Saccharomyces cerevisiae S288C: one gene and its partners. The gene in region 1 interacts genetically with each later gene. Each region holds a gene or a part of one and is shown on either strand. Other genes may lie near its edges. The genes, in order: LDB18, STU1, SCS2 and CLB4.

Region 1 (5,277 bases):
TTCCTCCACTTAGTAACAGCAAATGGTCGAATTTATCGAGGTGAAGATTACTGGGCCCATAAGGTCCCTCAATGGCCACTCGGAGTTGTAATTTACCATTTAAAGATTGCAAAATATGGTTATAAATGAATCTAGTGAGACCACTTTTAGGTTTGATCACTAAAACACACTTCTCACCTTCGTCGATAATGGTAAATGGATGGCATTGCCAAAATACCAATGGATGTAAAAAATAAATGAAACAATATTGACCCGGTTTCGAATGCCATCTCCGGTTATATTTGGGTATGATTACTTTAAACATTTCATCGTGCGGGTTGTTGCTGGTGTTCAAATTGATTAGTGTTGCTTTCGGAAATCTAAACTGCAAAATGTTCCATATTCTGAAAAGCTTTTCCAGCCCCCAAATGAGCAAGGATACCACTATCCATTCTTTCCAACCGTTGAAAATTTTGACGTGTTGCCAACAACAGTAAAAGAACAAAAGGGCTAGTATGATGTGGGTGTACAGGAAAAATTCGTAATGTCTTTTCCTTACTATTCCGAGCGATAGAACTAGTAGAACGCAAAGCACTGTTATGGATGCAATACCAAACTTCCAATAGAGCTGTTTGTTGCTTATTTTGAAGGCATGGTTGATAATTGCGAATAATGAATAAGAAAGCGAATGTATCGTTGCGTTTAAGACCATGATTCTACCGATCCATTTATGGAAACTAATAAAGGAATTGAACTTGACTCCTGTTAAAAATTCGAGAAAACTATTCCTTGCCGTAAAAATGATAATGAGAGGGAACTGAGTAAACGCCAGTATCCCAGATCTATCAGCCAACAGTCTTGTAAACTGCGACAGGTGACTGTTGAAAATGAGGTTATATGGGTCTATGATGTAACTTATGGACAAAAATATGATGTTCGCCAATGTGTATCCAAAAATGATCCATGCCTCCAAGGAATTCGGCATCAGTCCCGTAAAGACTTCCACGTTTAGAAACTTGAAGTGATTAGCGTGCTTATCTACTAAAAACGTAGGCAACACAAAATGGCCCCGAATATAATTGACGAACCGGCTTGCAAATAGCGCTCGATTCAGGCCGTTATAGTGACTCATATGGAAGAAGACGGCGATAATACCCACTATGACGAAGTAGTAAGTTAAATATGCACCATAAACACTGCTGATATCTAAATTATAGGCATGCGCATGAAAAGCTCGTATCCATCTAGATCTTGTCTCACGATCGACTCGAATGGATGTCGATAAACTTTCAATAGAACCATAGTCTTCCAAAGCGTGAGAAGAAGCATTATTTAAAGATGAGTAGTATTGCTCCAGTGAAATATTGCTAAACTTTTTATCGACAAACGAGCACGTTTTTCGTACGTTACCCAAGCTTTCTTCGAAACTTGTGTTGTCCATGGGAATAATCTGGTCTGTAAGCGAATTGAAGATACAAAGTGACCAAGTATCAAACGCTGGTGAATAAGAGCATATGGTAGAATAGAAACCCGGTACGACGGAGCTATCAAATGACCACTTCAGAGTATTTATATAGGATGCGCATGCCAGCACAGCGTTGGATTCCAAATGGTCTTTTTTTTCAGTGTGTGGTAATTTTATATTAAAAGCCTTTGTTAAAGATATCAGCCACGTTAAAAACAGAAGCGTTCTATGCATATTCAACGAGCTATGGTCGTCATGCTTCACTTTAGAAGATTATAGAAAAATCATTGCTGCCTGGTTCGATGACCTTGTATCTTTTCTTGATCTACATGGCCAGTATTTCCGTTCTGAATTTAGAATTACAAATATGGGTGCAAAAACAATGCCCACTAGCCGGGGTGTACGGGACCTTAAATCTAAGTATTGTGTTTTAGATAGAGTTGCGAAGAGAAAATTATAATTATAATAATTCTATACATGTATTCTGTATATATATGACGATTTTATATATAGATATACATTTTCATTTTTCTTGAAGATTGTTGTCATTTGTGAAATCATTTACCTTAATGAGAACCAGCGCCTCTGCTGACTCTTTCCAAAACAGAATCGTAAGAAACTTCGGAAAAATCAGTACCTTGAACATCGGTAGAGACACCGTTTAAGGCTCTTCTTAAGGCATCCTTGGAGGATGCATAGACCATCTTAGATCTGACTGGAGCAGTGTCTGGAGACCAAGTGAAGAAAACAATCTTGGATCTCTTACCTTCATTACCATTAATTTCGTATTCAAAATCGTAAATGGCGTAAAGACAGTCGTTTTCTGGCAATTTCTCTAAGAAGGCATCGTAAGATGGGTCAGTAGAGGTTTCCTTGACAACGATTTCGGTTTTAGCATCGTTCAATCCGAATAAAATAAATTTGTATTTTTTACCCAATTTCAAGTCATTGAAAGCGGTAAGGGATTCATCAGCAACAGCAACACTACACAGAAACTTCACATTTTCCTGGCTTCTTATGAATTTTTTCCCCCACATTCCTTTTAAAGTTCCATGTTAAAAAGGGAGGAAAGAAAGGACATAAGAGAGCGAGATAAAACAGCATCATGTCAATTAGTTAGTAATTGATAGTTTACACAGGAGTACAAATGAAATTTAGCATACCCAGATCTAGACATCTTCTTTTGTTAGTTTTTTGTTTATGTATGTTTTGAAATCTGAAGTTTACGTAGTTGCTAACCAGTCTTTTCTTGTTTCCTCTTTTTCTTCCAATTTTGTCATCAAACAGGGGCGGCGTCACCCGAATATTGTTCTTATTACCCGGATATTAGGTAATTTAGAGGTACTGCATATAGTATAAGTGATTGATGAACTTATAGAATGTTCTCTCGAGCTTCCAAGGCCATTAGCCTCTACCAAAGGAAGTTTGATGCCTGGTCTTAAGCTTGTTGAAGCTTTAGAATACAGGTGTGACCGATTGGAGCGGCTTATAGGCGCCGGATACAGCGCGAATTCCGATGTTTCAGTGCAATTAGATGAACTATACAATCAGTTACATCGTCTATATTTCCAGGGTCTAAAGTATTCTCAAGATCTCCTGCAACTCTTTAATACTTTCATGGCTGAAGACATCGAGAACGTGGGAGCTCCTGATGATATTTGTATTTTTGCTAGTTGCTTTGACGATATTTATACATTATATAGTGCATTTGACGAACTAAACAGCCAATATATGGAGTTTTGCCAAATCAGTAAAAGTTCATTGGATCAGATTTCCTTCAAAGACGCAAATATTGAAACGAAACAGTTGAAGAAGTTACCCGAGTTGGTGGATAACTGCAACATAATGATTTTGAGGTCAATTGCAATTCTAAACCGTTTCATCGACTGGAATATTGAAGTTAACGGATTCTTCCAGTTCCAGAAAAAGAGGCTGTTGAATTTACAAAAGGTAATTTATAGTACGTGAACATGTGTGCGTATATACATATATATATATATATATATATATATATATATATATATACTTTAGCATCGAAACAGCTAGTCCTTTTTAGAGTTCAATTTTTCCACAAAGGCTTTTTTAGCCAATTCAATTAGGATATCCAATTCTCCACTATGCTCACACATGCTATAAAAGGCACTTTGTTTGTTAAGTAACAAAGAATATGGGTGATCATACTCTTTTACCTCACCTGCATCCATCACCAAAATTTTATCATAATCGATAACAGATCTCAACCTATGTGCAATTGTCAAAATTGTACTACCTTGGAACTCTTTTCTTATGGTTTCTTGGATCTTCGCATCGGAACTGTAGTCGATGGACGCTGTAGCTTCGTCCAGCAATATGATCTTTGGACTCCTCAGTAAAGATCTAGCAAGGCACATCAATTGGCGCTGTCCTTGAGACAAATTGGATCCACCTTCGCTAATTTCACTACTTAAATCCAAGAATTTATTAACATTTTCGGAGTTAGTCGACGAAGCCTCATTGCTTGTTTCTCTTGTGGCGCCTTGTTGTAATTGTTCTTCACTAATTAGATTTACACGTTTCAAAGCTTCAAAGATCTGTCTGTCACTAAATTCATCATATGGGTCTAGGTTTGTTTTAATCGTCCCTGAGAATAGTGTTGGATCTTGTGGAATAATAGTTATAGAACGACGCAGTCTTTGTAAATCAACACCGGAAATATCGATATTATCAATTTTGATATGGCCTGTCTCAGGTTCCAAAAATCTGAACAAGGCGGTAATAATAGTTGATTTACCGGCACCGGTTCTACCAACAATACCGATCTTAGACTGAGCGTCGACAGAAAATGAAACATTTTTAATTACTCTAGGTAGATTTGGAGCATACCGTAATGATAAATCATTAACCTCGATTTTACCGTCTTGTGGCCATTGTGGTGGCGGTATTTCTTTGTGTTCGTTGTATGGCTCTTGCTCAATTTCCATATATTCTTTGACTCTTTCAACAGAATTCATATTCATCTCCACTTCAGAGTACAATCTTACCAACCACAATGCCCCTTCAGTGAAGGAAATAGCATACGTCAAAGATATACCAGCCATACCCGAATCCAGATTATTAATATTGAATAGAATGAACAAACCAGCTCCAAAAATGACCAAGGATCCAATCATATCTATCCTAAAGGCCAACCAACGATTAGCAACCCACAAGTAGAAGAATGGTTTATTATTTTCATCAATTTTGTGTAAATTCTCTTGCATAAACCTCCCTTCATCACCAAACGCACGAATGGTGGTAACACCGACAAGAGTCTCGGAAAAATGTTGATAGATCGGTGATCTAGAAATAGATTCAAATCTTTTCAATTCACGAGAACCTGCCATGTAGAAATACCCAACAAAATAATACAATATTGAAACAACTATAGCAACAGATAAGAACTGTGGAGTAATAAATGTAATCAGTATGACGGTGGATAAACATTCAATAAGCGAATAGAAGGCGCCTTGTATATAAGGTGTCAGTTCCTGATCAATAGCTTCGATATCCTTGGAAAACCTGTTCATAATTCTACCTGTTGGAGTAGCATCAAAAAATCTTATCTTGGAGTGTAAAACCTTGTTTAGAATCATATTAAATATCTTTCTTGACGCGTTGATACCAGCAACGAAATTTAAAATAGTTTTACCAGCTCCCAATAAAGCCTGAGCAAAACCAATGATTAGGTACAAAACCAGATAATACATTGTAGAGTGTCCACTGGAAGGTTGGTTTTCAGCTGACGCCATACTGATTTGGGACGAGCCCCTCCAATCAATTAGATGACTAGCCTTCTTGGAGATAAATGCAATAGC
Region 2 (9,060 bases), on another chromosome or scaffold:
CAACGGCTTTATTGAGTATTTATAAAACGTTTTTTTTTAATTCAAAATACATATACATGAATAAATATATACATATTGAATCATTTTTTTCCCTTTAATAAAAATACAGTTTAAACTAGTAATGATGCAACATTATTCGTTAAGATGATAGTTTGTTTTGTCTGTGTGGGACGTGCGCACGCACACGTATATACTACGACTGCTCCTCTTTGTTATCATGATTCTCTTGAGGTTCTTCCTTCTCTTCCAAGAAAGAAGCAGAATCAGAGCGTTCAGTAACAACAGTGGCATCTCCTTCGGCAGCTTCCAATTTTCTCTTGTAGTTTTCACGTTTCTCAATTTCAGTATTCAGGTTCTTCAAAAGCATGGACTCAGCAAGTTTGACATTCTTAGGAAATTTACTTGTGATTATGAATTTTCTAAAATTTTCGTCTTTATCATCGTCATCCTTCCTTTCCACGACAATATTGGTTTTTGTGAAAGTTTTCAAATTCTTAATTCTGTTCATTCCACGGCCAATAATGGCGCCTACATACAGTTCTGGAATCTTCAATTCGATCCTAGTGTTAGATGAGGTAGAAGGGGAAGTTGGCTCACCGGAGGACTTTTTCAGATGAGGGAAATAAGATCTTTCTGTGCTGAATCTGACGTCAACGTCACTCAAGATGATCTCGCTAATTTCGATAAGTACATTGGTGATGGATCCTGGGAAACCCTGGATCTCGATAATTCTCTCGTCGCTAGCAGGTAAGAAGTCCTTGGAAGCCACGATCTTAACGCCGTGCTTATTGATCAGGGACTTGATGGTGGCGCCTGCTTTCCCGATAATCGATGAGATATGGGAATTGGCCACAATGAGCCTCACATAACCGATGTCCTCCAGTTGCTGCAGATCTCTGATCTCGTCCTTTGAGGGAGCTGGTAAAATATGGTTCAAAAAGTGGAAGTAGTAGTGCTCTTCCGCTTCGCCCTCAGCTGCGTCCTCATTTTCGGGATTCCGTTTGTTAAGCACGTCAACAATATCACCAATGGCATTGGCCACATTGATTACGTTCCCAGCACAGGACAGGATCCTGTCAGAGCAACCGGGCACCTTTTCAGAAATACCGATCTTGACGGCGTTTGCAGCTCTTATGCGTGAGATGGTGGAGCCCTTAGTGCCAATGATCTTGGCAGCCTCTTTCAATGACAGCAAAAGCCTGTGATTGATGGTGGGTTGAGCGGTGGTGCCAACAACGGGGGCGCCGCCAGTGGCGGCGCTGCCGGCATCACTGGAGCCGCCGTTGGTATTGTTTGTGGGAATTGCAACGGGAGTAGCAGCTTCGAAGAACTGTGACATGGCTGGTATATATACTAATGCTGTCTCTAAGTTACCCGATAAGTTGATGCTTTGTTGTACAGGGGACGCGCGATAGGAGTGGGGAGCAATATGCTTTTACTTCGTATGCCAAGTAGTTATATATGCTCGGGTACTTATGCTCCAGATTATAGTCTTGTTTGTTGTTTGGCTGAGCGGCCGGACACACAGAAAAAAAACAAAAGGGCTTTCGTTAAAAGGGATAGGGTAATGTCTAGACTTAGCATAGGGCTAAAACAGAAATAGTAGGGTCTATACCGTTTTTGAAAACAAGTTGTGTAGGGTGAGACTTTTTCTTTTTCCTTTGAGTTTTTCTTTTTCTTTTTACGATTTGTCAGAAATTAGTCGGACGCTCTTGTGGGGTGAGCGCCAGCGCCGCTATAGTATATATAAAGAAGTTGCTGTGCTGGCGTGGACAATAATTGAGTCATTACAAAAAGTGGCGTACATAAAACTACAACAAACCTACAGGATGACCATAGATAACTACGACAACAGTAAACAGGATAGCAGCAAATACGAGGTTAGTGGTACGGGTGATGGCAGGAACGGCGATGGCGGCTTGCCTCTAGTACAATGTGTCGCAAGAGCTCGTATCCCAACCACACAGGGTCCGGATATCTTTTTACATCTTTACAGTAACAACAGGGACAACAAGGAACATCTAGCCATTGTGTTTGGTGAAGACATACGGTCGCGCTCGCTATTCCGTAGAAGACAGTGCGAGACGCAACAAGATAGAATGATCAGGGGCGCTTATATTGGCAAACTGTATCCCGGCAGAACTGTGGCAGACGAAGACGATAGACTCGGATTAGCTCTGGAGTTTGATGATAGTACAGGTGAGTTATTAGCTTCCAAAGCCACTACATGGGACGCCCATAACGACACGCTGGTACGGATCCATTCTGAATGTTACACCGGTGAAAACGCATGGAGCGCCCGTTGTGATTGTGGTGAACAATTCGATAGGGCCGGTAGGCTTATCGCTTGCGACCACGAACCCACAAGCAACATCAAAGGTGGAAACGGCCATGGTGTTATCGTGTATCTAAGACAAGAGGGTCGTGGCATCGGGTTAGGTGAGAAACTCAAGGCCTACAACCTGCAAGACTTAGGTGCTGACACAGTGCAGGCCAACTTAATGCTGAAACATCCCGTGGATGCTAGGGACTTCTCGCTGGGTAAGGCTATTTTGCTGGATCTTGGCATCGGTAATGTCAGGCTGCTGACAAATAACCCGGAAAAGATAAAACAGGTAGATCATGCGCCTTACCTTAAGTGCGTTGAACGAGTGCCTATGGTACCCATACACTGGACAAACTCCAGTGAAGGCATAGACTCCAAGGAGATAGAAGGTTATCTCAGGACCAAGATAGAAAGAATGGGTCATTTACTAACGGAGCCTCTGAAACTTCATACAAACCCTCAACCTACTGAGACAAGTGAAGCCCAAAACCAAAACCGTATGAACTCTGCGTTGTCATCAACATCGACGCTGGCAATATAAACACAAGTGTAGCATAATTATTAGTACATATAGTGCTTTTTTTGTAATGAAACGAAAATACCATGTTATTTTAATGCGTTACCCCGTCGGCGCGTATTGGCGCATTAACATCTTTATAGAAAATCAAATTATTTACTTATTTATTCTAAAACGCTAAACATCTATTTATTTACATTTGAGGTTGAAACTTCCCTTCATCCGATTGACAGGCATATTTAGCGGTAATTATTAGGGTTTTTGGAGAGACCTTGTATTCTTCAGAAATAATGTCGTCCTTCAACAATGAGACCAATAATAACAGCAACACTAATACACATCCAGACGATTCCTTCCCTTTGTATACCGTATTCAAGGACGAGTCTGTACCCATCGAGGAAAAAATGGCACTGCTTACACGGTTCAAAGGACATGTAAAAAAGGAACTAGTTAACGAATCGTCGATCCAAGCTTATTTCGCTGCGTTACTGTTCATCTCCGGCCATTACGCTTACCGTTCGTACCCGCGGTTAATCTTCCTATCACATTCCTCGCTTTGTTACCTTATCAAACGTGTGGCCATGCAGTCTCCAGTACAATTCAATGACACTCTAGTTGAGCAATTACTAAACCACTTAATTTTCGAGTTGCCTAATGAGAAGAAATTTTGGCTGGCTTCCATTAAAGCCATTGAAGCCATTTATTTGGTTAATCCATCGAAGATCCAAGCTATTCTAGCAAATTTCTTGCGAAGACCAAGTGAAAACCAAAACGGAGATTACCTGAATAGGATAAAATCTACATTATTGACCATCGATGAGTTGATCCAGATCAACGAGAAAAATAATTCAAATCATTTGCAACTACTGAGGTTTTTCATGCTGTCTTTCACCAACCTTTTAAATAACAACCTAAATGAACACGCAAACGATGATAACAATAATGTAATAATAGAGCTTATTTTCGATATAATGTACAAGTATTTGAAAATGGATGACGAAAATTCACAGGATCTGATAGATGGATTTATTAACGATTTAGAAGTTGAGAAATTCAAGCAAAAATTCATAAGTTTAGCAAAGTCACAGGACCAGCATGGTTCACAAGAAGATAAATCGACCTTGTTTGACGAAGAGTACGAGTTTCAATTACTATTAGCCGAAGCGAAATTGCCGCAGTTATCAAACAACTTGAGCAGTAAAGACCCAGCGATGAAAAAAAACTATGAGTCTTTGAACCAATTACAACAAGACTTGGAGAATTTGTTGGCACCGTTCCAAAGTGTAAAGGAAACAGAACAAAATTGGAAGCTAAGGCAATCAAATATAATTGAATTAGACAACATTATATCCGGCAACATTCCCAAAGATAATCCAGAGGAATTTGTCACTGTAATAAAGGAGGTGCAGTTGATTGAGTTGATTTCAAGAGCTACCTCGTCGTTGAGGACAACGTTATCATTAACTGCATTACTTTTCCTCAAGAGGCTAATCCATATCCTAAACGATCAGTTGCCCCTATCAATATTGGACCAAATATTTGTCATTTTCAAGAACTTGTTATCATCTACCAAGAAAATCTCTTCACAAACTGCATTTCATTGTTTAATTACTTTGATCATTGATATAAATCATTTCCATAATAAACTATTCCAATTATCTTTTTTATTAATAAATGAGAAAACCGTAACACCGAGATTTTGCTCTGCAATACTGCTGCGTAGCTTCCTGATTAAGTTCAACGACTCCAATCTTTCGCTCAACAATTCAAATACAACTTCGCCAACCTCAAAGTTGGAGAATAACATCATATACATCGAAGAATGGCTAAAAAAGGGCATTTCAGATTCACAGACAACCGTTAGAGAGGCAATGAGGTTAACTTTTTGGTATTTCTACAAATGTTATCCTACAAATGCCAAAAGATTATTGAGTTCTTCCTTTTCTCCACAGTTGAAAAAAGCAACAGAATTGGCAATCCCTGCTCATTTGAATATAAACTATCAAGTTTCCAGGGTGTCCTCTACTGCCTCCGCCTCCTCTGCAACGTCTCGATTGTACTCTCACTCTTCGAATAATTCTTCAAGAAAAACCAGTTTACTGGAGCAGAAAAGGAACTATCCAAGTTATGCCCAACCGACTCAATCTTCCTCCACCTCCCTACTCAACGCTCCTGCAGTCACAGCTGGTGGAAGTGTCATAGCCAGTAAACTATCAAATAAGCTGAAAACAAACTTAAGGTCTACTAGTGAATATTCAAGTAAAGAAAATGAAAAAAGGGCAAGGCATCATGACAGTATGAACTCTGTTTCAAACAGCAACACCAAAGATAATAATAATGTTACTAAAAGAAAAGTTAGTGCCCCTCCTTCTTCTACTGCCGCCACAAAAGTATCTGAAAATTACACAAATTTTGATGACTTTCCGTCAAACCAAATCGACTTGACTGATGAGTTATCAAATAGTTACTCTAACCCGTTGATAAAGAAATATATGGATAAAAATGATGTTTCGATGTCATCTTCTCCAATCTCATTAAAAGGCAGTAATAAACTTGGTGAATATGAAACCCTTTACAAAAAATTCAATGATGCTTCGTTTCCAGCTCAGATCAAAGATGCTTTACAGTATTTACAAAAGGAGTTACTGTTGACATCGCAACAGTCATCATCAGCCCCAAAATTTGAATTTCCCATGATTATGAAAAAGCTACGCCAAATTATGATAAAGTCACCAAATGATTTCAAGCCATTTTTGAGTATAGAGAAGTTTACAAATGGAGTTCCCTTAAATTACCTCATTGAGCTATATTCTATTAATAGTTTTGATTACGCGGAAATCTTAAAGAATAGAATGAATCCTGAAAAGCCCTACGAGCTTACTAACTTGATTATAACTATCGCGGATTTATTCAATTTCTTGAATGCCAATAATTGTCCGAATGATTTCAAACTATACTATATGAAATACAAAACCACTTTTTTCAATTATAATTTCAAGTTACTTTTAGAGATTTTCCGTAACTTGAACATAAAACATGATAACACTCTGAGGTCAGGAACGAACGATCTCATGCCTAAAATATCAATGATACTCTTTCAAATCTACGGTAAAGAGTTTGACTACACATGTTATTTCAATCTAATTTTTGAAATTTATAAATTCGATAATAATCGTTTTAATAAATTGCTAGCTGATTTTGACATTGTATCTACCAAGATGAAAATCTGTCATGAACTTGAAAAGAAGGATGCCAACTTTAAGGTAGAAGACATCATTTCTAGAGAAAGTTCTGTAAGCTTCACTCCCATCGACAATAAAAAATCTGAAGGGGATGAGGAATCCGACGATGCTGTAGACGAAAATGATGTTAAGAAATGCATGGAAATGACAATGATTAATCCCTTCAAAAACTTGGAAACTGATAAAACACTAGAGTTGAAGAATAACGTTGGAAAAAGAACATCAAGCACAGACAGCGTAGTTATTCATGATGATAATGACAAAGATAAAAAGCTTTCAGAAATGACGAAAATAGTAAGTGTTTATCAACTGGACCAGCCAAACCCAGCAAAGGAGGAAGATGATATAGATATGGAAAATTCTCAAAAATCTGATTTGAATTTAAGTGAAATTTTTCAAAACAGTGGTGAAAATACCGAAAGGAAATTGAAGGACGATAATGAACCAACAGTAAAATTCAGTACAGATCCTCCAAAGATAATAAATGAGCCAGAAAAACTTATTGGAAATGGGAATGAGAATGAAAAGCCTGATTTGGAAACAATGTCACCAATCAAAATAAACGGGGACGAGAATATGGGTCAAAAGCAAAGGATCACAGTAAAGAGAGAAAGAGACGTAGCACTAACTGAACAAGACATAAACTCCAAAAAGATGAAACTAGTTAATAACAAAAAATCAGAGAAGATGCATTTGCTTATCATGGATAATTTCCCAAGGGATTCCTTGACTGTATATGAAATTAGTCATCTTTTAATGGTTGATTCTAATGGCAACACTTTGATGGATTTTGATGTCTATTTCAATCACATGTCAAAGGCAATAAACAGGATAAAAAGTGGATCGTTCACTATGAAACATATAAATTACCTGATCGAACCCTTGATTACTTGTTTTCAAAATCAAAAAATGACCGATTGGTTGACGAATGAAAATGGTTTTGATGAACTACTGGATGTTGCTATTATGCTTTTGAAATCTACTGATGACACGCCTTCAATTCCATCAAAAATATCCAGTAAGTCCATAATTCTCGTTCATTGTCTTTTGGTTTGGAAAAAGTTTCTAAATACACTAAGCGAGAATGCCGACGATGATGGCGTTTCGGTGAGAATGTGTTTCGAAGAAGTATGGGAACAGATCCTTTTAATGCTTAATAAATTTTCTGATTATGGAAACGAAATCTATAAATTAGCGCAAGAGTTCAGGGACAGTCTAATGTTATCGCACTTTTTCAAAAAACATTCGGCAACAAGAATTCTAAGCATGTTGGTTACTGAAATTCAGCCTGACACCGCTGGTGTGAAAGAAACATTTTTAATTGAGACCTTATGGAAGATGCTGCAATCTCCTACCATTTGCCAACAATTCAAGAAATCTAATATATCAGAGATTATCCAAACAATGAGCTATTTCATTATGGGGACTGATAATACTTCGTGGAACTTCACCAGTGCCGTGGTATTAGCTCGTTGTTTGAGAGTCCTCCAAACTACTCCAGATTATACTGAGCAAGAAACCGAACGATTATTCGATTGTTTGCCTAAGAATGTCTTTAAAATGATCATGTTCATCGCCTCAAACGAATAGAGAATAGCGTGGTAGACGCGTAATTTTTTTTTACCGTGACGCGTCTCACCAGAGTTTCTTAGTTCTTTCTCTTTTCTAAAACTGTAATAATATGAGCTCTTTGTAGACACATATAACATTTTGTTTCATATACATAATATATTTGCATATAAAAATATCAAGATAATTGATTGTCAATTGGTTCAACAAAGCTTGAAGGTAAATTTAGGCAGGAGCAAGTGACTGAAAAAAAAAAAAATGAGCGGATCTATCGATGTCATCACTCATTTTGGGCCTGATGCAGACAAGCCGGAAATCATCACTGCATTAGAGAATTTAACTAAACTGCATGCATTGTCCGTCGAGGATCTATACATTAAATGGGAGCAGTTCTCCAATCAAAGGCGTCAAACTCACACAGATCTGACTTCCAAGAACATAGATGAGTTTAAACAATTTTTACAATTACAAATGGAAAAGCGTGCTAACCAAATTTCATCGTCCTCTAAGGTAAACACATCCACAAAAAAACCAGTGATTAAAAAAAGTTTGAATTCAAGTCCCTTGTTTGGCCTTAGTATTCCAAAGACTCCGACTTTAAAAAAAAGAAAGTTACATGGTCCCTTTTCACTCAGTGATTCCAAGCAAACATATAATGTAGGCTCTGAGGCAGAAACAAATGAAAAAGGAAATAGTTCTTTAAAATTGGAGTTTACTCCAGGCATGGCAGAAGATGCTGTGGGTGACAGTGCTCCATTGTCCCACGCTAAAAGCTCGGATGCCAAGACTCCCGGCTCGTCGACATTCCAAACTCCAACAACAAACACTCCTACCACATCGAGGCAAAATGTTCCTGCTGGTGAAATTTTGGATTCTTTGAACCCTGAAAATATTGAAATATCATCTGGTAATCCAAATGTAGGCCTTCTTTCGACTGAAGAACCATCATATAACCAGGTCAAAGTAGAACCATTTTATGATGCTAAAAAGTATAAATTCAGAACAATGAGGCAAAACTTACAGGAAGCGTCTGATGTCCTCGATGATCAAATTGAATCGTTTACTAAGATTATTCAAAATCACTATAAGTTATCTCCAAACGACTTCGCTGATCCAACTATTCAATCTCAGTCCGAAATTTATGCTGTTGGAAGGATAGTTCCAGATTCGCCGACCTACGACAAGTTTTTGAATCCAGAATCGCTTTCCCTAGAGACCTCAAGAATGGGCGGCGTTGGAAGAAGGGTAAGGTTAGATCTATCGCAGGTCAACGAGCTTTCGTTTTTCTTAGGCCAAATTGTGGCATTCAAAGGTAAAAATGCTAATGGGGATTACTTCACCGTTAACTCTATTTTGCCGCTACCTTATCCAAACTCCCCAGTGTCCACATCGCAGGAACTGCAGGA
Region 3 (5,407 bases), on another chromosome or scaffold:
CCGTATTGCCATTTGAAAAATCAGTATCGAACGTATTACCTATATTAGTATTGGTTTGATTATTGCTATTATCATTGGTTTCCTTCGCGTTGCTTGCGCTATTGATACGTTGTTGTAGAGTGTTCAAGTGAAGATTAACGGCTTCTGAAGTATTTGGCTGAGTATTCTCAAAACCAGCCAATGCCGTAGAAGATACATAATTTGTGTGAGAAGGTTGCTGCTGTGGATATCCATCAAACTGTGTCGCGTAGCCTGAGTCTCGTATAGCATCATTATAGACATTATTTTGGTAAGGCGTTGTGTTCCTATTGCCTCTTCGACGAGCTCTATGAAGAGAATTCTCTAATGGCGAAGGCCTGATACCCTTAATGGAAAACGAATCAATCCATCTATTGGTTGGGGAAGCATTATCACCGCCGTAGTACAGAATCCAGATTAAATTTATGATGGAAAGTAAGATGACACCTGCTGAAGCAGCAGCTTTCTTGGGACCATCCGCATACACTAAATTCGTTGCACTGTTTGTATTATACACAAATGCCACTGCAATAGATGTGGTGATGAAGATTCTGTAATGATCGACTAAATCAAAACAATAGAACAGCATTAAAGAACAAATAATTAGAAATTGGTATACTATACCCCACCAAGTAAAACGTGGGAAGGATTCATTGGTGGATGCAGATGAGATGGAGCCCCCGATGGCGATGACCCACGATACAATTGCCAAAGAAATTGATGATATAGCGAAAGGATCGGCATAAAATTTTTTCATTTTAAAAGAATGGTCGGTAGCCATACGTGAAGGTTTACGAGGAGTTGGTCTTATCTTTGATGATATTGACATATTTTGAAAACGTGATTTTTGGTGTTTCTGAAAAGATGGCGTTGATCTATAATGTCCAATGTTGTTTTCAAATTATTGGGTTGGCTACTGTTAATAACACGCCCTTTCTTTTAGCGATTCTGTTGAGCAAAGAAAGCTGATATGATAGACAATGATACCTCACTGAAAACGAGGCTCAATGACTTTATTCGTGTTCCTGTGTTCTTTGCATATTTCAGCAATCGCTGAAATTTTTATAATACGTATGAAGCAAAAGCCCGACTCCGAAAGCTGTTGTGTGTAAATAGATTGAACGCGTTGGGAATGTAAAACGCGATTAAGAATTTCTGATTTAACGCAGGTGCTAGGTTATTAATAGTTTCTTACGCGGATATGTAGGTTCAAGGGTCTATGTACGTATGGAGGAATAGCAAAAAAAGAATGAGTATACTCTTGCTTATTTAGTTTAGCTTCAAAGCTGCGGTCAGGCAGGTGATCATGATTATTAGCCCCCAGATAAACAAGAGAAGACCTGTGTATTTGAAAATCTTTGTCGTCAATGGCACGGCTGTCTTGTGCTCAGTTCCTATAAGCTTGTAGCCAAAGAGCCCGGGCAGAATGAAAGAAATAGAAGTGGAGCCTGTGGCCCCAACAATGGCCAGTACACGGGCCAAGGAGGAAACCGAAATGGCGACAAGATATGATGCAACTAAAATGCTGCACGTTATAACAATAAAGCTCTTGCCTCTCAATGGAGTCTCCTTAGGCTGATAAATAGATTCTTCTTCAATTACCTCATTGAGGTCAAGGCTACTGTCGCGAATCAACGGAGAACTTTCGGTAGCAACAGTGGGTTCATCCGCCGATGTAGCACTTATACTTACATTTTCCTCGGCGAAGTGTTGCAAAATCTGATGGATTGAAGCTCTTGCAGGATGACACTGTAGTGGGAACGCCAGCATCACCAACAACACAATCGCTATTCTGCCGATGGTGCTCGAGACCGCTTGCGGGTACAGCATGATAATGTTTCCAATGATGTTGTCGCCGAATGTCAGGTATCCAGCACAGCCGATCGCAATATATAAGATGAGAGCCAAAGATATTGCTATCAGTGGAATCTTCATCACATGCTCGAACCGGCTTGACCTCTGCTCATTGATTATTGAAAACATATTGTGGTGACATGTGTAGGCAAAGACAAAAATTGGAAGAGTGTTTAGCACGTTCAAATCATGCGATTGTGGTGGCAGGAGGTAGGAGATCCGGCCTTTCAAGCGAAGAATCTCATCTGATGGTGCTACATAGTGCAACAACACCAAAACACACAAGTACGCTACAGAAGAGATGGCCACCATGGAAGCGTACCTCAACGAATTCAACTTCTTCAGAAAAGACAGCGGGGCCACGAAAAAAAGCATGATCAGTGAAATTTGCACGTTCCTGTTCAACAGCCAAGCATTTCTGGTCCACACAGACATTATTTGGGGCATCAGATCCCCAACTACAATCATATAAGAGACGCCCACACCAAAACACTTGATAGCGATCGCTAGGTCAAACACAATACCTAGATTTGGGTTAATCAACCGCGTCAGAGCACTGAACGAGGCCCTCCCCTGTGGTACGTATTTAGCTACACGAGCTTGTATGAACAAGCTTTGCATAGCGCACGCCCCACACAGCACTATCATTATCACTCCAGGAATTAATCCAAACGGCTTGAATGCGTACGGCATGGCCAGGATACCAGCACCGCACGCCGTGTGTAAAAGTGTCAGCACACCTGATCTAATACTAGCTACCATATGATGCACGATTCCTTTCTATGGTTATTGAGCTGTGAAACTAACCCGTCGTTCGACCATTGTTGTTCTATATACTTCTAGTTGCTGTATAGATAAGCTCTCCGATCCCCTAAACGTGCGTGGTGATCTTACTCTTTCGCCCTCGCTTTTTTTTTTTCGCTTGTTGTTTTCGCAAGGTGAATAGAATGGTTTTAGTAGCAAAGTGCATTGTTTATTGTGTGGTGTGGTTTGACGCACATTCTGTGTTAATAGTGTAGCAGAAGGGTATTCTACAATCTCCGCGAACCTAAGTATGTCTGCTGTTGAAATTTCCCCTGACGTGTTGGTGTATAAGTCTCCATTAACGGAGCAATCGACAGAATACGCTAGTATTTCCAACAATTCAGACCAAACCATTGCATTTAAGGTCAAGACCACAGCCCCAAAGTTTTACTGCGTGAGACCAAACGCCGCAGTTGTTGCTCCAGGTGAAACAATCCAGGTTCAAGTTATCTTCCTGGGTTTGACTGAAGAGCCTGCCGCAGACTTTAAGTGCCGTGACAAGTTCCTGGTTATCACGTTGCCTTCTCCTTACGACCTCAATGGCAAGGCTGTTGCAGATGTTTGGTCCGACTTGGAGGCTGAGTTCAAGCAACAGGCTATCTCTAAAAAGATAAAAGTCAAATATTTGATAAGTCCAGATGTACACCCAGCACAGAACCAAAATATACAGGAAAACAAGGAAACTGTTGAACCAGTAGTCCAAGACAGTGAGCCAAAGGAAGTGCCTGCTGTGGTAAACGAAAAGGAGGTCCCTGCTGAACCGGAAACTCAACCTCCCGTCCAAGTAAAGAAAGAAGAGGTCCCACCTGTCGTTCAGAAAACCGTTCCTCATGAAAATGAGAAGCAAACGTCCAACAGCACTCCGGCCCCACAGAACCAGATAAAGGAAGCCGCAACCGTACCTGCAGAAAATGAATCATCCAGCATGGGTATATTCATATTGGTTGCACTCCTTATCTTGGTTTTAGGATGGTTCTACAGATAATAGGGAGATTGAGGATATAGCTGTATTCTAAATATATATTTATATATGTGTGTGTTTTGCCCTTTCCTTCCTTTCAGTCTTTATTTTACTTTGTTTTTCTACAATCTTTTTTTATTGTTTCCTTCTGTAGCCTTTACAATACTAGAACAAGGAACTAAAAGATCATACTTTCCTAACTTTTTTATATGTTTTATTTTTTAAATAGGAGAATAATCGATAACTATACCACTGTTGTAACATATTACTTGTTTAATTTATTCATGTTCGGTTTCCCTAGTGTAGTAGGCGCTATCTTGGGCAAATAACTATCCGTTATTAACCATAACAATGCGGGGTCTACTAAATGAGGGGAGGGTCTTGGATGCACATTAACGAAGATCTTGCGAGGGGGTCGCGCCTAAAAGGTCCATAAATAAATGAATACATAAACAGCCACCTACTTTCAGTTTGTTTTTTGCTAGGTCTCATAGTGAACGAGGGACTCACATATTGACAATATAGTAACATGGGCTTATCGCGCTGGCACGACAAGAATTCAAGGCCAGCAGAGGAAAAGAGCGAAGAAATGCAACAGGATGCGCACTACTACGCCCTTGCGGCAAGTGATAGTTTAAATGCAAGTGTTTCTAACGAATATGGTAATCAAGTAATGAACTCGTTTTGGAAAGTGGGTATAGACTCTCCCTATGTGGACGATGAAGCAATTAGAAACAGAGATGTCGAAAATAACTTACCTTCTTTAAAGCAAAGTGTTTATAATGCTAATGAACCAAATGCTACCTCGTCTGCATTTTCAACCGCTTCATACGCACATGAAACTTTCGATTTTAGAAACCTTAAACTAAGATAAGGGGGGATGAAGAATAAGAATAAACGCACGTACAATGCATATACAACCGTTTCTATGTACCATAAATATAATTATCATATAATGAAAAATGAGAATAAAAAACAATGATAACAATGAAAAAAAAAAAATTCAATTAAAGAGAAAATTAAACTTATTTTCTTAAGTAGTCCCTTAAATAACTACCGAGTTTTTCAGCACCCTGTTCTACAACGTCTCTCAACATCTGCAATTCATCATCTGCGGAGGCATTAAAATCGATGAAACCGTTATTAGAATTACGGCCATCAAAATTCCCTGCTCCACTTCCACTACTATTGATGGGATTACCAAATTCATCCACTTCTTTATCTTCTCCAAAGTATGAAGAAGAGGAAATTGATGTAGCATTGTCAAATGTTTTCAACTTGTCATGCGCTTCCCTGTTTGCTGCTTCATCAAATGAGCCACGACCAAATAATTGATCAGATGATATAGCTTTTTGTGTGCCGTACCTTTCCGCGATTCTGCCCGTATATCTTGGTCCCTGAGCTATTTTCTGAGATTCTTTTTGTTGCTTTGCCAAATCATTGGCGTCATTCATGGTCATACCAAATCCCAATTTGGCAAACTTGGGTGTTAAAGTATCTTGCTGTTCTTTTCTAGTTGTGTCGAAGCTGTTTGAAGTGTCATTTAAAAAATCATTGAATTCATCAGGCTGGGTATTAATATCATCTATACTGTTATTATTGTTGCCTTTACTGTTATTCATAAATTGGGAATCGTAATCATTTTGTCTAATTTTGGTGCTAGAAGACGAATTAGTGAACTCGTCCTCCTTTTCTTGTTGAGCCTCTTTTTTAAATTGATCAAACAAGTCTTCTGCCTGTGATTTGTCGACTTTCTTTGCGGTTAGTCTA
Region 4 (4,346 bases), 520 kb from region 1:
GAAAATAAAAAATTGGCTAATGAAATTGGGCGATTAAGAGAACGCTGGGACAGCTTAGTAGAAAGTGCGAAGCAAAGAAGGGATAAGCAAAAAAACTAGACGAATAAGGTAATTTCTTTTCAAGATACGAAGTATCGTCTTTTAACTTAGTTGGAGTATGTGATTGCTGCTCTTCTACTGCGAATGCCGCTTACCTGGAGGCATAGGGCACATATATCAAACCCTCCAGAATTGAATTTTGCCCTGAGGCTGCTTGAAGATTGTCAAATAAAGATTCGGTCAAAAAGAGGATGATATAAACTTGGGTGGACCATCGGGGTGTTAACTGAAACGGAATCAAGGATGCATTCATATATATATCTATATATATATATATGTGTGTATATGTGTATGTGTGTGTGTGTGTGTGTGTGTAATATGATATATATCTTCTACCTGAATAAATGAAATATGATCCTTCCGAAACCAAAACTGAAGCAAATGGTGTTAAGATGAGTAAGTTAGGCTTCTGTCGAAACAATCCATTCTTCTACAATTTGAGAACAGCGGTAATGCTTTTGGTCAAAGTATTTTTTCCAAATTGAATGATGGCGTCGAGATGCGTTCTTGCAATTCTCCAATATCAGTGATGCTAAAGGAATTATTTGGCTGGATGTATAGCCAGAGTAGAATACATGTTTTAAAGACCAATCATTTGAACCAAGAATTGTTCTGCTCAGAAAATACGCGCCAGCAGCTAACCAGCTTGGTGCCGCAGCCACTAGTTTGGGTTCTACTATTGTAGTTTCCAATAAGTACTTTGCTAATGTTCTTGGTTCGAAGTCATAGTCATCTGCTTTACTTATCCTTCTTAAAAATGGCATGGGTCCTGGCCAACCTATTTCAAATTCCAGAGTATCTATCATATACTGTTCCGCTCTAATAATGTCATCTCTAGTGTATGTATTTTCCAGCATGTAAACTAGATCATCCAAAGTGGGGCAGTTAATCTCTTCAAACTTGGCAGCAATAAATAAAGCCGATACACCAACCAATTGAAACCTGTTCAAAGTAACGGTCTTCTTTGACAGAAATCTATCCACTATATTAATCGTCAGGTATAGCGTTTCTGGTAAAAGTTGAAATCTAAAATGCAGTTGAACTAGCCAATCTATCATAGTTCGTCTGAACGGCCATGTAAGCTCTACTTGATTTTGCATATAGTAGGGATTAGGCCTATATTTCACTTCAAGTTCTCTCAAGTAATAGAATATGTCGGAAGCGTACTCCACAACCATCACAACATCATGGGTATCATCATCCAGCGGATTGGGAACCGACCGAAAATATTTTTCAAACGCCCTGTCCAGCTCAGTCTGAATTTCATCGTTGTTTATTGGTGATAGTGGTTCAATTTGACTATCAACATCCTCTTCAATGACATCTTGCATTTCTCCATCGAAATCTTCATACACTTCATCGGCTTGAATCTGCTGATCATTTACTCTTCGACTTAACAAATCATCAATAGCATCTTCATTAACTTGTTCGTCATCAGTAGAAGAGCCTTCAGAACTATCAATTAAAAAATAGTCGCTATCTTCATGCCTTACGTCTCGTTGTTGTTCTTTTACCAAGGCCGATGAGCGTATGTTCTCTATTTCAAAATTGTTCTTCGTCTGATGGAATTTATTATGTATAGCATTGTGTATTTTGTTTGCCTTTTGAGAGGTTACATCACCTAATGCAACCCTCCTTTGTCTTTTTTCTAGCCTTTTTATACCCTTTTGAACTCCTTGGTAAAGTACGTTCTTAACTTCTTGGTTTGCATTTTCGTCCTGAATTTCAATGTCACCTATCAAAGTAGACTGTGGAGGTTGTACCGTATACCCTTCAAGCATCATCTGTCAATTTCCTTGTTTGATCAGGGCAGCCTAGTATCCGGTATAGTAAGCAGTTTCCCAAATACGACGTTAATTATCAAAGAATTAAAACTTTATGCGGCCACAATAAATAAATATCTTTCTGATGTTTCCATTGTTTTTGTTTTTGTTTCAGTGTTTACAAAGCGCAAAGAAAAGGAAAATCTCGAAGCAGAGGGCAGATAGGGCAGGCATAACTTTAGGATAATCTTGCTAATCTTCTAGAACACATGAGAAACTCCGAATAAACTTAAAAGATGAGTGATATCTTGAACGTAAGTCAACAACGTGAAGCAATTACCAAGGCCGCTGCGTATATTTCTGCTATTTTAGAACCACATTTCAAAAATACAACAAATTTCGAGCCTCCGAGAACTTTGATTATATGTGGTTCAGGGCTTGGTGGAATATCTACCAAGCTGTCTAGAGACAATCCACCCCCGGTAACAGTCCCATACCAAGACATCCCAGGATTCAAGAAAAGTACGGTTCCAGGTCATTCCGGTACACTAATGTTCGGATCTATGAATGGTTCACCAGTAGTATTAATGAATGGTCGTCTTCATGGATATGAAGGCAACACATTGTTTGAGACTACTTTTCCTATTAGAGTGCTTAACCACATGGGTCATGTTCGTAATTTAATTGTCACTAATGCCGCTGGTGGTATAAACGCGAAATATCAAGCCTGCGATTTGATGTGCATTTATGATCATTTAAATATCCCTGGCCTTGCTGGCCAGCACCCATTGAGAGGTCCTAACTTGGATGAAGATGGACCTCGTTTTTTAGCCTTGAGTGATGCATATGATCTGGAGTTGAGGAAGCTTTTATTTAAGAAATGGAAAGAGCTCAAGATTCAAAGGCCACTGCATGAAGGTACTTATACTTTTGTATCTGGACCCACTTTCGAAACAAGAGCAGAATCCAAAATGATAAGGATGTTGGGAGGAGATGCTGTCGGAATGAGTACTGTTCCCGAAGTCATTGTTGCAAGACATTGCGGATGGAGGGTTTTGGCCTTAAGTTTGATTACCAATACTTGCGTGGTGGATAGCCCTGCCAGTGCGTTGGACGAATCACCTGTACCCTTAGAAAAAGGCAAAGCGACTCACGCTGAAGTACTGGAGAATGGTAAAATCGCCTCTAATGACGTGCAAAACTTAATTGCTGCCGTAATGGGGGAATTATAATTGTTATAACTTAAATACCTCTATTTATTACATAGCGGGAAGATGTACCTTCGGCCGGTAGAATAATTTCGCCTGTTCTATTGAAGAAAAACAGTCTTATATATCTATTGTATATACGTCGATTATTTTTGTTCGCTTGTTTTTGTATAAGAAATATCTATGACAATATTAATATAAGAAGTTGCAAAAAAAAAACAAAGAAAAAAGTTGAAAAGTTTTTGAAAACTTCCACAAATCTTTAATTGTTATACGTTACTGTACATTATGCGTTTATTTCCCTTCAAATTCGTCGATAGACTCATTTGCATTCTTTTTTCTTTTGAGATGTTTCATTTTAAATTCTTGATACTCTTCACTGATGAACTTCACCAGCGGGTTCCCATTTACCCTCAAGATTTTCCTTCCATAAAGTAACTTTATTATCGCCACCGGAAAGAGCTAGTACATTACCTGACAAAGACCAACTGGCTCTCCATAAAACATCTGGGAATTTTTCTTCTTTTAATAAAGTTTTTTTCCATGGGCCTTGTTCATTGTCTTGAGTCCAAATAATACAGGTGCGATCTTGAGAAACACTGGCCAAATAAGAACGTAGAAGAACAGTAGGTGACCATGCTACGTCTCTAACCCAATCGCTGTGACCTTCTAAGGTGCTTTCCAGAACATAAGTTTGGGCATCTGAATTGTACTTCCAAATCTTTACCAAATTGTCAGCACCCCCAGTAACAAACTTGCGAGATTCTTTAGTACCGTTGTGTTCACCATCTTCTTCGATGGTAGCTGGAGCCCAAGAAGCAGAGTTAACGCCAATGGCATGAGCATCGATGATTATTGGGGAAGTAGTACCGTTTTCTTTGAACTCTACTACGGAGACCTTACCATCAGAGGAAGCAACCAGCAGTAGGGGGCCATATTCATGAGGAGCCCATTGAACAGAGTTGACAGAAGCAGAGTGGACAGCATGAACGGCAATTTGAGACCATCTACCGTTTTCTTCCTTCCAAATCAACACTTTACCATCATAAGAACACGATGCCAAAATGGTTCCGAATTTAGGATGTGCCCAATCAACACGCCAAACTGGGCCTTCGTGGCCAGTCAACGTGTCTATTAACTTGTGTGTTTCTCCTTCGACTTCAAAGATCTTGATTGTCTTGTCAGAAGAGCAGGTTGCAAGGCGCTTCCCATAATAGTCTAGAACAGCGTCATGGATTAATTCGTTGTGCGCATTAGCTATGACGACCATTTGTAT

The links.
Region 2: mutations in LDB18 (region 1) and STU1 together harm fitness more than expected from each alone (negative genetic interaction), as found in Saccharomyces cerevisiae (4 studies listed by BioGRID, with this or other methods).
Region 3: mutations in LDB18 (region 1) and SCS2 together harm fitness more than expected from each alone (negative genetic interaction), as found in Saccharomyces cerevisiae (4 studies listed by BioGRID, with this or other methods).
Region 4: mutations in LDB18 (region 1) and CLB4 together harm fitness more than expected from each alone (negative genetic interaction), as found in Saccharomyces cerevisiae (4 studies listed by BioGRID, with this or other methods).

Annotation. Positions count from the first base shown.
Region 1 is NC_001144.5:37,794-43,070, forward strand, and holds LDB18 (Ldb18p), read left to right. Parts: upstream 1-2,872; coding exon 2,873-3,412; downstream 3,413-5,277. Other genes in the region: FRE6 (putative ferric-chelate reductase), read right to left, coding at 1-1,678; COF1 (cofilin), read right to left, coding at 2,011-2,428, 2,608-2,621; bile acid-transporting ATPase YBT1, read right to left, coding at 3,487-5,277. UniProt on the Saccharomyces cerevisiae protein: May be involved in protein-linked oligosaccharide phosphorylation since the deletion reduces the negative charge of the cell surface.
Region 2 is NC_001134.8:152,463-161,522, reverse strand, and holds STU1 (Stu1p), read left to right. Parts: upstream 1-3,133; coding exon 3,134-7,675; downstream 7,676-9,060. Other genes in the region: HEK2 (Hek2p), read right to left, coding at 194-1,339; RIB1 (GTP cyclohydrolase II), read left to right, coding at 1,830-2,867; DNA-directed DNA polymerase alpha subunit POL12, read left to right, coding at 7,913-9,060.
Region 3 is NC_001137.3:398,209-403,615, forward strand, and holds SCS2 (phosphatidylinositol-binding protein SCS2), read left to right. Parts: upstream 1-2,926; coding exon 2,927-3,661; downstream 3,662-5,407. Other genes in the region: osmosensor SHO1, read right to left, coding at 1-847; AVT6 (aspartate/glutamate transporter), read right to left, coding at 1,288-2,634; YER121W (uncharacterized protein), read left to right, coding at 4,167-4,511; GLO3 (ADP-ribosylation factor GTPase-activating protein), read right to left, coding at 4,663-5,407. UniProt on the Saccharomyces cerevisiae protein: Acts as an endoplasmic reticulum (ER) membrane anchor for cytoplasmic proteins via binding to the FFAT motif of targeted proteins. Regulates phospholipid biosynthesis by modulating the subcellular localization of the transcriptional repressor OPI1.
Region 4 is NC_001144.5:559,545-563,890, reverse strand, and holds CLB4 (B-type cyclin CLB4), read right to left. Parts: upstream 1,884-4,346; coding exon 501-1,883; downstream 1-500. Other genes in the region: ATG38 (Atg38p), read left to right, coding at 1-99; PNP1 (purine-nucleoside phosphorylase), read left to right, coding at 2,159-3,094; GTPase-activating protein SEC13, read right to left, coding at 3,447-4,340. UniProt on the Saccharomyces cerevisiae protein: Essential for the control of the cell cycle at the G2/M (mitosis) transition. Interacts with the CDC2 protein kinase to form MPF. G2/M cyclins accumulate steadily during G2 and are abruptly destroyed at mitosis.